Sus scrofa: one gene and its partner. The protein of the gene in region 2 interacts with the protein of the main gene of each other region in a biochemical or structural test. Links are inferred from orthologs where the notes say so. Each region holds a gene or a part of one and is shown on either strand. Other genes may lie near its edges.

What was found. The genes of interacting proteins can lie anywhere in the genome.
Region 1: the proteins of SLX4 (region 2) and EME1 form a complex in vitro, tested with the Homo sapiens proteins (3 studies listed by BioGRID, with this or other methods). The link is inferred for Sus scrofa from reciprocal best matches to the Homo sapiens genes SLX4 and EME1.

The regions. Positions count from the first base shown.
Region 1 is NC_010454.4:26,668,189-26,674,252, reverse strand, and holds the start of EME1 (crossover junction endonuclease EME1), read right to left. Parts: upstream 4,128-6,064; 5' UTR 4,036-4,127; intron 2,228-4,035; 5' UTR 2,203-2,227; coding exon 1,419-2,202; intron 1,336-1,418; coding exon 1,208-1,335; intron 1-1,207. Other genes in the region: MRPL27 (39S ribosomal protein L27, mitochondrial), read left to right, coding at 4,258-4,300, 5,796-5,927. UniProt on the Homo sapiens protein: Non-catalytic subunit of the structure-specific, heterodimeric DNA endonuclease MUS81-EME1 which is involved in the maintenance of genome stability. In the complex, EME1 is required for DNA cleavage, participating in DNA recognition and bending.
Region 2 is NC_010445.4:38,655,835-38,661,207, reverse strand, and holds part of SLX4 (structure-specific endonuclease subunit SLX4), read right to left. Parts: exon of another isoform or gene 5,183-5,373; coding exon 4,970-5,182; exon of another isoform or gene 2,833-4,969; coding exon 2,624-2,832; intron 2,492-2,623; coding exon 2,169-2,491; intron 1,853-2,168; exon of another isoform or gene 1,663-1,852; coding exon 1,425-1,662; intron 1,028-1,424; coding exon 939-1,027; intron 35-938; coding exon 1-34. UniProt on the Homo sapiens protein: Regulatory subunit that interacts with and increases the activity of different structure-specific endonucleases.

The sequences.
Region 1 (6,064 bases), on a different chromosome or scaffold from region 2:
TGGTGTAGGCCAGCGGCTACAGCTCCGATTAGACCCCTAGCCTGGGAACCTCTATATACCACTGGGTTCGGCCCTTAAAAAAAAAAAAAGTAACTTGGGCTTTGAGGGTAGGTGCTAAGTATAAACTGAGTGGCCCTTACAAACACAGAGGTTTTGGGTCACAAAGATAATCACCAGGGAAACTTCAGTCTGTGAGAGCATCTCTTCTTCACCATACTAGGGCATAATTAAACAAAGCCAGGGCCTCCCCACGGTCCACAATTGTACAGCAGCACAGTGTTACAGAGTAACTGAGAGCAGGACTTGGGCAGAGTTTTCTGATTAGGTCCCTCTAAGCAAAAGCCAAGACCCACAATATAGCAAAGCACGAGTGGGAGGAGCTCTGGGTTCTGGTCCTCCCCCACCCCCACCCCAGCCATTACTCAGTCTTAACAAGGCTTTCAACTTCTCAGGGCCTCAGTTTCCCCACCTGCGATGTAGGGTAAGAATTCCATCCTTATAGGGTAACTGTGACAGAAACAGGGAATTTTCCCCCCACAAGTTGATGTCTGGCAATATCTGGAGACATTTTGTTGTCGTTGTTTTTATAGGGTGGCACCAGTGGCAGATGGAGGTTCCCAGGGTAGGGGTCCAATTGGAGCTACAGCTGCTGGCCTACATCACAGCTGTATCAATGCCAGATCCGAGCCACACCTGTAACCTATACAGCTCACGGCAACGCTGGATCCTTAACCCACTGAGCGAGGCCAGGGATCGTACCTGCATCCTCATGGATCCTAGCTGGGTTCGTTAACCGCTGAGCCACAACAGGAACTCCATGGAGACATTTCGATTGTCATGACTGGAACAGGTACTCAAGGTATCTAGTGAGTAGATGCTGGGGACACTGCTAAACATCCTATAATGCACAGGACAGCCTAGCACAACAAGGAATGGACCAATCTGAAATGGTTATGGTACCTGAGATGGAGAAACCAAGTTAAAGCTGTTATTATCCCGAGGTACGGCACCACTGCTTGTAGTTTCCTTGCACCCCGCCCATGCCTTGGAAAGCAGTCCCTTTATTAAATCTTCCTCAAAATATCCTAGGTTGAGTGTGCCCTCTGCTTTCCTGCCAGGGCCTTGACTGATATATATCCTTAGAATAAAAGCATATTTATCCTGTAACTCTAAGGAGGAGGAGAGACAGCAGCCAGAAAACCCCTACCTCAGTGGGGCCAGCCTTTCTCCTCCACGTGATGCTGCGGGGCACAGCCTGCACCTCAATCACACAGCAGCACTCCATGGACTGCAGGGCGCTAAGCAGCTGGCCCCCACCTTCCATCTGTAAAAGCACTGCAACAGACAGGAAAGAAGCTGTCAGTGGGGCCCAGAAAGCAGTTCACCCCACAAAAGGTAGAGAAAGAGGCCTGGAGGACCTGGATCCAGCTGCACCACAATGTGCTTTAAGCATTCCTCTGGCCTCTGAGCTCTCAGCCTGTTAACCAGGGCTGCCTTCTTCTTCCTTTCCTGTTGCCTCTGCGTGCTTTCCTTCTGGCTTGTTTGTCCACGCTGCTGGCATCCCTGTGAGCCTCTCTTCCCGTCCTTCTGCTTGTGCTTGGTTCTCTTCTGAGGCGGGGGTACCTCAGCACTTGTTTTGGTGCCTGTCAAGCTGTAGCTCTGGGCAGAGCAAGGAGCGTGGGAGGCTGGAAGCTGATGGCATGGACTGTCTATCACAGGGTCCTTGTTATTTGATGCACACCTCCCTGCGGTGTCATGGAGGGGAATACCTTGGATCTTTGGAAAGGACTGTTTCTGCCAGTCACGTGATGCTCCATTATTCTGATGATCCAAAACATTTTTAACTGGGGAGCTGGAGTCCTCAGGACTCAGATGCTTGTGGGTCAAAAACTTACAAGTCAGTCTCTCAGCCAGGGGAATAAATTCCTCCTCCTCCTCCTCACTTTCACTGCTTAGCACCCTGACTGGCTCTGTTTGTGTGAGAGTTTCAGCTGTCTCTGGAACAGGTGATGGGTCTTTCCGTTTTGGTGATGGGGGACAGGAGGCCTCAGAATCTGAGATGTCAACCACGACCACCTTCTCCTCCTTCTGAGGCTGCCTCCTCTTTGTTGAAAACAGCTCCTTCTTCAGAAAGGCAAATGTTGGCAACTCCTCAGAGTCACTGTCACTGGAATCCAGTGAGAGTGATGCCTTCAGAGCCATCAGTATATGCCAGCATATTAATTCCCTAAAAGAAAAAGAGGGATGGAACACAGACTGTAGTACTGATTCCAGTCCACTCAGTGTGTTTGATGGCCAAGCTTTATGGAAATAAATATGATACACAGAAAAATGGAGAGAGAATTAGGACATGGCCCCAACATGGACAATCTGGAACTCAGAACAGCTATGTCTGTAGTCTAACAGGAACCCTCCTCAAAGCCTTTCAAGGTCAAGGTGAGGTATAAACAAAGTGGAAGTTAAGATTAAAAAATGTTAAGGGGTTAGGAACAAGACTCAACGCCACCTCTTTACTGATCTCTGCATTTAAAATGGAGATACCAAGAGTCCTGTCCTGGTTCAGCAGTAAAGAACCTGACTAGTATCCATGAGGACGTGGGTTTGATCCCTGGACTTGCTCAGTGGGTTAAGGATCCAGCATTGCCATGACCTATGGTGTAGGTTGCAGATGTGGCTCGGATCTGGTGTTGCTGTGGCTGTGACGTAGGCTGGCAGTTGCAGCTCTGATTCATCCCCTAGCGTGGGAATTTCCATGTGCCATGGGTGTAGCCCTAAAAAGACAAATAAATAAATTAATTAAATAAAATAAGAGATACCAAAGTTATTCCTTTTTAAGTGAGATATAATTTGTATACCATAAAATTTATCCTTTTAAAGTGTACACAGTTCAGTGGTGTTTAGTACATTTGCAAGGAGGTACAACCAACTCTACTAATTTTAGAACGTTTTCATCACCCCAAACAGATATCCCATAGCCATGAAGCAGTCAGTCCATTCCCCATCTCCCCACCCACCGCCAACACCACCACCCATAAATCTACTTCTCTTTCTATGGATCTGCCTATTCTGATATTTCACATAAATGGAATCATACAGTACATGATCTTTTGTGACTGGCTCCTTTTTTTTTTTTTTTTTTTTTTTTTTGGTCTTTTGTCTTTTTAGGGCGGAGCCTATGGCACATGGAGGCTCCCAGACTAGGGGTCGAATCAGGGCTACAGCTGCTGGCCTACACCATAGCCACGGCAACGCCAGATCCTTAACCCACTGAGTGAGGCCAGGGATTGAACCTGCAACCTCAGGTTCCTAGTCAGATTTGTTTCTGCTGTACCATGATGGGAACTCCTGTGACCGACTTAACATAATGTTTTCAAGGTTCATTTACAATGTAGCATATGTATGTTGTCATCATCATTTCATGGCTGAATAACATGCCATCTTACTTATGTGTGAGTTAATCCATTCACACTTGGTGAACATTCTGTTTGAGTCCCCTTTTTGGGCATTATAAATAATGCTGCCATGAACATTCATGTCCTAGTTTTTTGTAGGAACATGTTTTCAATTCTCTTGTATCTAGGATTGCAATTGCTGAATTGTGCACAAGAATCATTCTTTGAACAAATATTCACTACCACTGTAGGTGTGACCCCAGATGAGCTATGTAACCTCTCTGGGCCTTGCTTTTTTTTTTTTAGTAAAATAGGGATAACAACAAGACCAATTTTACAAGGTTGTGAGAAGTTAAAAAAAAAAAAAAAGGTCACACATCTACAGCACTTCAAACAGCATCTGGCACGCAGGAGTGCTCAGAAAAGTAGGTTTCACGACTAGGGAGGGACCTTATCCCTATCCCCGCTGGGGCCTCGGTGGCCTCTGGCAGAATGTGGGGCCCTGCAAGCGGGCCCCTACTGATCGCGCTCCAGCCTCTCTCCACCTGCACCAGATCAGTAGAGGCCCCGACCGCTCAGAAGGTAGCTCCCTACCCCGCCCCCACCGGGCCGCCCACCCGGCTGCCCGCCCGACTAAACTCACCAAGCAACCTCTCCCGCCACTCTTTCAACCGCCACGTAAGACCCGGAAGTAGATCTCCACGTAGCGGAAGCAGATTTCTGAGACCGGAAGCAAGTGTACTGCAAACATGGCGTTGGCGGTGCTGGCGCTAAGGACCCGGGCAGCAGGTAACCGGACGCTGTGGTCGTCGCGGAGCAAGGGGTGGAGGCAGAGTGGAGACCTTACTGGGAGCCAGAGGGTGAGATGCGGTGGAGGCTGTATCTCGCGGAAGACCTTGGGACGGGAGGTGTGTGCAGGGCCCACGAGGTTTGAGGGGCGGTAGTCGGTGATCACGTGACATCTAGGGCGTGTAGCTCCTGACCTTCCACTGGCTGGCGTGCAAATAAGCTTCCTTAGCCGTAGGTGCCGGTTCATCGATTTATTTGGGTAAATAAATGGGTTTATTTGGATCCCGTCATCTGCAAAAACGGGTTACTACCGCTGGCATATTAGAGGTCAAAAAGTTAATCTGTTCGTTCAGCAGATTGAGGTCTATCTTTGTACCAGACACTGTGGTAGGTGTTGAGAATTTCAACAGAGAAGATGAAAACATAGTCTGCACACACAGCACTGTTCTTTCTAGTAGATAAGCCAGTAAATGAGCATATAAATAAAATAGCTGTAGGAGTTTCTCTGTGGCTCAGCAGGTTAAGGATTCATCGTTGTTGCTGCTGTGGCTTAGGTGCAGTCTCTGCCTAGGGAACTGCCGCATGTTGTGCTTGCGACCAAAAAGAAAATACCTGCATAAGTTCTTGTCTCTGTTCCTTTGCTTCAGGTAGTCTCTGTTCTCATTAAAACTTCAGAAACCTGGGATTTAGGAACTCTGAACTTATAGGCTCCAGGGACCCACAAGCCTTCTCTAAAGACTTTCTGGCATGGCCCTGTTTAACTGTAGCTGTATCTGGAGACCTGAATGCAGGGACCGCCAGTCCTGGGCTTGTCATATAGCACTGGGCTTCTGTCCTGGTTAGTATGAATTTTAGTTCACTTTCCTTTTAAAAATAAATGCCATTGTGCTCTTTGGAATGAATGGGGAGGTCAGGTTAACAAGGTCAGAGTGTCAGTCTTCTTTGTTGGACCTGTGCTCGATGGGCTGCTGAGCAAAGAAAGGATCCGGCCTTCTGAAGTGGACAGGAGCCTGTGGGAGCCATCCTCAGAGAGGCTGCCCTTTTTGTTTACAAGTACGTGGTGTGCAGTGGATGGGTGGATGGCTAATAAAATGGTGGATGAGGTCAAAGCAGGAGCCTCCTCTCTGGGTGTCCTCTTGCTGGGCTCTGCGGTCTGGCCCCTCCACAGTGCATGGAGGCTTGAGGACATAATGGTGAGTGAAGCTGAAACAGGCAGCCCTCTGGTATCCTCTTGCTGGCTTCTGTTTTTGTGGTATTTGTTTCTCCTCAATAGGAATGAATGTGTCAGGACCTAGGACAGATGGTGTTTATTTTTTTTCCATTACTATTTTACTCCCCAAACCCCCACCCCAGGCCACACACACACAATTCATGTAGTGCTTACACCCTGGACAATACAAGGAATGATTTGTGCCCCGTTATGGGAGAAGGCCAAGGACTTCAAACACTCCCTGAAAACCCAGACCGTCAAGTGGCATTTCTGCTCACGTATCTTCCTCACCTCCCCTGACACTACCTCCTGCCACCTCTCAGTTTAGCAAATGGCCCATCGAGACAGAGAAAGAGAGTCTGATTGGGAGCCTCTGTTTGAAAAACATTTTGTTCTCTCTGCAGTTACAGCCCTGCTGAGCCCCCCTCAGGCTGCAGCTCTTGCTGTCAGATATGCATCCAAGAAGACAGGTGGCAGCTCCAAGAACCTCGGTGGAAAGTCACCAGGCAAACGCTTTGGCATCAAGAAAATGGAGGGTGAGCCTGTGGCCTGGCTTCTGCATCCGCCTTAGCACCCTGCCCTGCTGCCTTGACATTCCTTTGAAGAGTGGGAAACCAGGCAAGAGCCTGGTTTCCATTTCCCTCACCAGAACATTTGGCTCCAAATGAGAGGC
Region 2 (5,373 bases):
CACCAAAGTCAGCCACCAGCAAACCGAGGGAGAGCTGAAACAAGAGGAGAACCACTTCCATGTGCCGCCCGCCTAGCTGTGCAGGTGCCCAACTGAGGGTGTGCGGGCGGCAAGCCCTCGAGTTGCTCCCAAGGCCCGGCGTCAGCTCCACCTCTGAGAGGCTAAGCCTCAGAACGGCCAACCCTGTTCCCTCTCAAATTCTCTATCACGACGAGTTCCCTGGCCTAAACGGGAGGCCCAGCCGGCGGAGAGGCCTGGCACTGGCGACCTCATCAGAAGGGGGTGACAGCACTAGCGGCCGCTGAGTGCTTCGTGTGCCAGTCGGTGTGCAGGGTGACTACCGGCCCAGCTTGATGCTAACGCACGGCACCCGAGCCCATGCGGCCGTGGGGCCGGCCTCAAGCTCCCTGTCCCCTCCGTGACAGGTGCCACATCTCCAGGGAGACCTTGGTGAGAAGAGTGGCTGATGGTGATGGCCTAACAGGACGACATCCACTCGAGGGAGAACCTAGCTTCTGCTCCTCCGCCATGACACAGAACAGGGCGGTTGGCCGGAGGCGTGCAGGACTCGCCCTCGGGAGGGCACCTCAAGGCCTCAACGAGGGAACGGAGCATCCAGAGACAAGCGTGCGGGGCCACCGGCTGCAGGAGGTGCCCTCTCGGGGCAGGGGTGCGCCCCTGGGCCCCAGGACAGGGCAGGCTGCTGGGCCCGGGTACCAACGTGCCCCCAGAGTTCAATGACAAAAGGGACAAAGGCCTCATGGCAGAGCCCCGGGAATAGGAGGCTCCCGTGGGCATGCGCTTGGCTCAGCTCCAGGGCCATCAAGAGGACCCGTGGGCTCATGCGAGGGCCCAGAGGCTGGCAGTGAGCTGGCCGCACTGAACACGGGACAAGCACCGCAGCCAAGGCCGCAGGGCAGGGGACCAGACACCCTTACCGAAGCCTGGCCGCCCCTCTCTGCGTGCTTCTCCTTGGCTGGCAGGACAAACCCAGTCAGCGGAAGGCCGCCAGGTGACAAGTCCATCCCTGAAAGAAGGAGTCACAGCTTAAAAGAACAGCACCTCCTGGCAACATCAACCACCAGGAAATCACATCGCCCACTGACCCAAGGCCGCGGGCACCGCAGGCGAGCTGCCCGCACACCCCCAGCCCTCCCACCAGAGGTGCATGGGACAGAAACAAGCCCACAAGCCCACCCGCTCTGCGGAAGGCCCTGTCCTGGGTCAAAGCTGAAGGACCTTTGCAGACTCACCTAATCACCTTCACCTTGGAGGGAAAATGGAAGTACCTACAGACCCTACATTCTCCCTGTCACAGGGGATGAGCGGGGATGTCGGGTCTGAGCGGCTGTCACGGCACCAGGAGGACTGGCCTGTTACAGCCTCCATCCCAGGAAGGGGAGCCCAGAGGGCCAGTGTCTTACCTGCTTCCCCTCCTGTGCCAGCCGGGCCCCCACTGCAGGGCTGCGGGCTGGCACTCAGCCCCTCTCCTGCCAGGTCCAGGAGGTCCTGCAGGGCCTGGTGCTCCCTCTGGCTGGCGGAGGGTGCTGGGTCGCTGGGGCTGTGGCCCCCAGGGCGGGCACTGTGCACAGCAGGTGGTGTTCGTGGGCCCGGCTCTGGTGGATCAGGCAGCACCGGGGGCAGCGTGGGCTCCTGTGCGAGCTTTTGAAAGAAGTCAGAGCGCCAGCGTGAGAGTGTGCCCAAGGGTGCCAGCCTCAGCCCAGAGCAGGCTGGGGAAGCTTTTCACCATTACCACCCATCAGCAGGCTCCCCTGTCATGACAGAGGACATGTCTGTGGCCTCCACGTCTGCAGAAGGGTCCCTCCTGTGTGGTCAAAATTGCTTCGAGCAGGTGAGTACTGATTCCGGACCACCCATGTCAGGCCGGCCTGGTGCCCAGGCCCCGCTGCAGGTAGACAGTGCGAGCCCTGGGAGCAGGACCTGGGCCTCTGCATTTTAAACAGACTCTCCAGGAGCACATACATGGGGAGCCAGCGGGCCTCCCTGTTCTTACCAGGGGAGCCGTCTAGCTGCAGAGGACACGCTAGGTGACAACCGCGCTTCTTCCCCCGCCAGTGAAACCTGAGGTTTCCATCCCCAAGCCGCCACCCTTCCCCGGCAAGCCCACCCCCAGATGGCGAGCGAGTGAGTGCCAGGCGGGAGCGCACCTCTGCGGGCCTCGGAGGCACCAGGGTGGGGACCAGGCTCTCGGTGTAGAAGGATTCCAGAGCCCAGGCCCCGGTCAGGGCGCTGCCCTCCCACAGAAAGTTCTGCCTTCTCCCGGGCGGTCGCAGACGGCCGCTGCCCTCTTCCAGCCTCCGTAAGAGTCGGCTGGCGGGAAGTGGCGGCGTGCTGGCGCACTCGGCCGCCTCCTCCTCCTCCGCCAAGAGTCGCGCCACGCGCTCCTCCAGCTGCCTGCCCGCCGTCTCCGCGTCCTGGAGCAACAACCGCGGTGGGGAGACGGGCGCCTTCTTCTTGCGACTCTTCTTCTCTAGAGATAACCAGGCGACACGGAGCTGTCCTCCCCACCAAGCCCGCCAGCAGCACTTCTAGCTGCTGCCGGGGGGGGGGGGGGGGGGGGGGGCAGGCTCCCCCGGCCCCGCTCTCGGCCGCGGGTACCTACCTGCTCCCGGTCTCATCTTCACAGAAAAAGCGCTTCCCAGTCTGAGTGCCGCCGGCACAGCCTCGCGCTCCATCTCGGACCGAGACAGAGCCATGGCCACCAGCAGGTCCTCAGACGGCGCTTCGGGCTCAGCGACCTTCCGCCTCTTCCGTGGCTCCTTCTTGGTGGCGGCTCCCTTCCGCTTCAGACCTCCGAGGGGACTGCCGAGGCTTCAGAGACAGCCAGATGGAAAGGTGAGTGAGGCGAGAGGTGTGAGCACTTCCTGTGCTGAGAAGGAGCTGCACCCCTTCTCCTGGGGGGATAAGTGTGGCCTGGGCAGACAGAAGCATCAGCGGCCTCTGGGCTCAGTCACTGCGCTCACTCTGCGCCTCACGTAGGCTCGTGATCCTGGACGGAAAGTTCAACGCAGTCCTGACATGGCAGGTCTGGGTCCTCCTGGGTGACGCTGCCCAGCTGGGTCCTCGGGGCGCACCCGAGACGTGGCCGCCACCTTCCAGTAGAGTCAGCACTGGCTCCCAGTCAGCTCCCTGGATCCCACCCACGGCTGCCCAGCCACACCTCAGATGCCTCGTAGGCAGTCCCGGCCATGCAAGGATCTCTCCCTCCTGCAGGGGCCCAGGCCTCCACCAGGGTCAGCCGACCCAGAGGTCAACGTGTGGCATCTCATCTGGGTTGGAGGAGGTTACTTAAAGGGTTTTCTGGCTGCGGTGAATCCCAAGAGGCCGGGCAGACGGGGGAGGGCACAAACCCAGGCCCGCCTTCCCTGCACTGCGGGGCCGGCCTCCTGGGAAGCACTCTGGCTCCCCTGGCCTGGGGGTGGCACCAGAATCGCAGGGGTCACCTCAGGGGTCTAAGCTCCAGACTCCTGGGACCCTGCATGACCACCAAAGCCTGTGCGACAGGAAGGAGCCAACCCCATCAGGCCCTGCTGGTGGCCCTGCTGGCAGCTTTGCAGGCTGCACCTCAGGGTCCGGCGGCCAGGGCCTGGGCAGAGGGCTGCAGGCGTGAGCAGGCTGCTCTGACCAGCACATGTGCCCTGGTGGGGGAGCTCTAACCACCCCAGAGTTGAAACGCCCCAGCCTGGCTGCCGGCTAGGCGAGGCTTAAAGTCTCAGTGAGGGTGGCGTGCTGTGGTTTTCTACTCCAACAACCTTCCGGAAGGACCCACACACATCTTGTCTCACTTCTTGGAGGTATTTAAAAAACAGATTTTTTTTTTTTTTTTTTTTTTTTATGAGCAGGTAGCTTTAGTCTAGTCCTGCCAAAAGGGCAGCAATGGTTTAGGTAACATCTGAGCCCTTGATGCTCTGATTCTCCAAGGCTAATGCTGATGGGCTAAAACACGGACAGGTGTGCAGCTAAGAACGGCCCCTTGCCCACCCCAGTGTCAGCACTGGCGCCACTCAAATCACCTGCCTGAAGGGCAATGGCCGGAGCCAACAGCCACCGCCCTCGGCCTGCACTTTGCCCTCGAGAGCTGATGAAGGAAGGAAGTCCAGAACCTACAGCAGGCCAGGGCCAGCGCTACTTTGCTCCCTGTACCACTGGGGCCTACTCTGGCGTCCGCAGTGCAAGGGGCAATGTGGAGGGAAGTCACCCTCTGCCACATGTGCCATGGTTTGCACACAGAGCACTTGTTTCTGGTTATCAGCAAGGCCTTCTATTTAAACACTTAAGCATTTATTTCATGCAAATTTAAAAGGCTTAAGCTTCTGTCTCACCAAGTTGAACTGTGCTGAGAAATCTTTTTTTTTTTTTTTGTCTTTTTGCCATTTCTTGGGTTGCTCCCGTGGCATATGGAGGTCCCCAGGCTAGGGGTCCAGTTGGAGCTGTAGCCACCGGCCTAGGCCACAGTCACAGCAACTCGGGATCTGAGCCGTGTCTGCGACCTACACCACAGCTCACGGCAACGCCGGATCCCTAACCCACTGAGCAAGGCCAGGGATTGAACCTGCAACCTTATGGTTCCTAGTGGGATTCGTTAACCACTGAGCCACGACAGGAATTCCTATGCTGAGTAGTCTTAAATTAATGGTATGAAAATCGGACTACACTGAGCTGGAAGCCATGCTGCCCCCCACCCACAGTGGGCACGGGGAGGAAAACCGCCGAATTCCTAGCTGCTCAGCCTGTGGGGAAGGACCTTGAGGAAACCAGTCCAATCCAACGGGTCCCTTTCAAAGCCTCCGAGGATGGAGCTCTCTCTCCTCCCCAGTTCCTGTGAAGCCTAGGCCCGGTTTCCTCCTGAGATGTTTCATCTTCAGAAGCAGAGAGCTGCTGGCCTCCAGCACTTCCACAGGCTTTTTTAAACCAGTCAGAGTACGTTTCTTCTTTGCCCCTGACTCACCTCGGCGCGGGAGTGCTGGAGGCCCCCTCAGGCTGAGCTGTCTGCAGCCGCACGGCCTGGAGCAGGAGCTGCGGGCCAACCTCCATCCTCGCGGCACACTGCTTCAGGTGGCTGAGCCGGCTCTTCGGGCGGAGGAACGGCTTGCCACAGATCGGGCACTCGGGCACCTGAGGTACGGACGGCCTCAGGGCCTTTTCAGCCTCATCCAGGCACCTGGAGGAAGACAGTAAAGGTAGAAGCCCCGCCCCCCTGGGGGTGGATCCTGCTCTGGATCCACGACGCACAGCACGGGCCAAGGTGCCTTCCCTCCAGGCAGCCTGCCCTTTCCCTCCAGGCAGCCTGCCCTCCGCCTCAGACACTGAACTTAGGCTTCTGTTAGCAGCAGCGTCTGAGGAAAGCAAGGG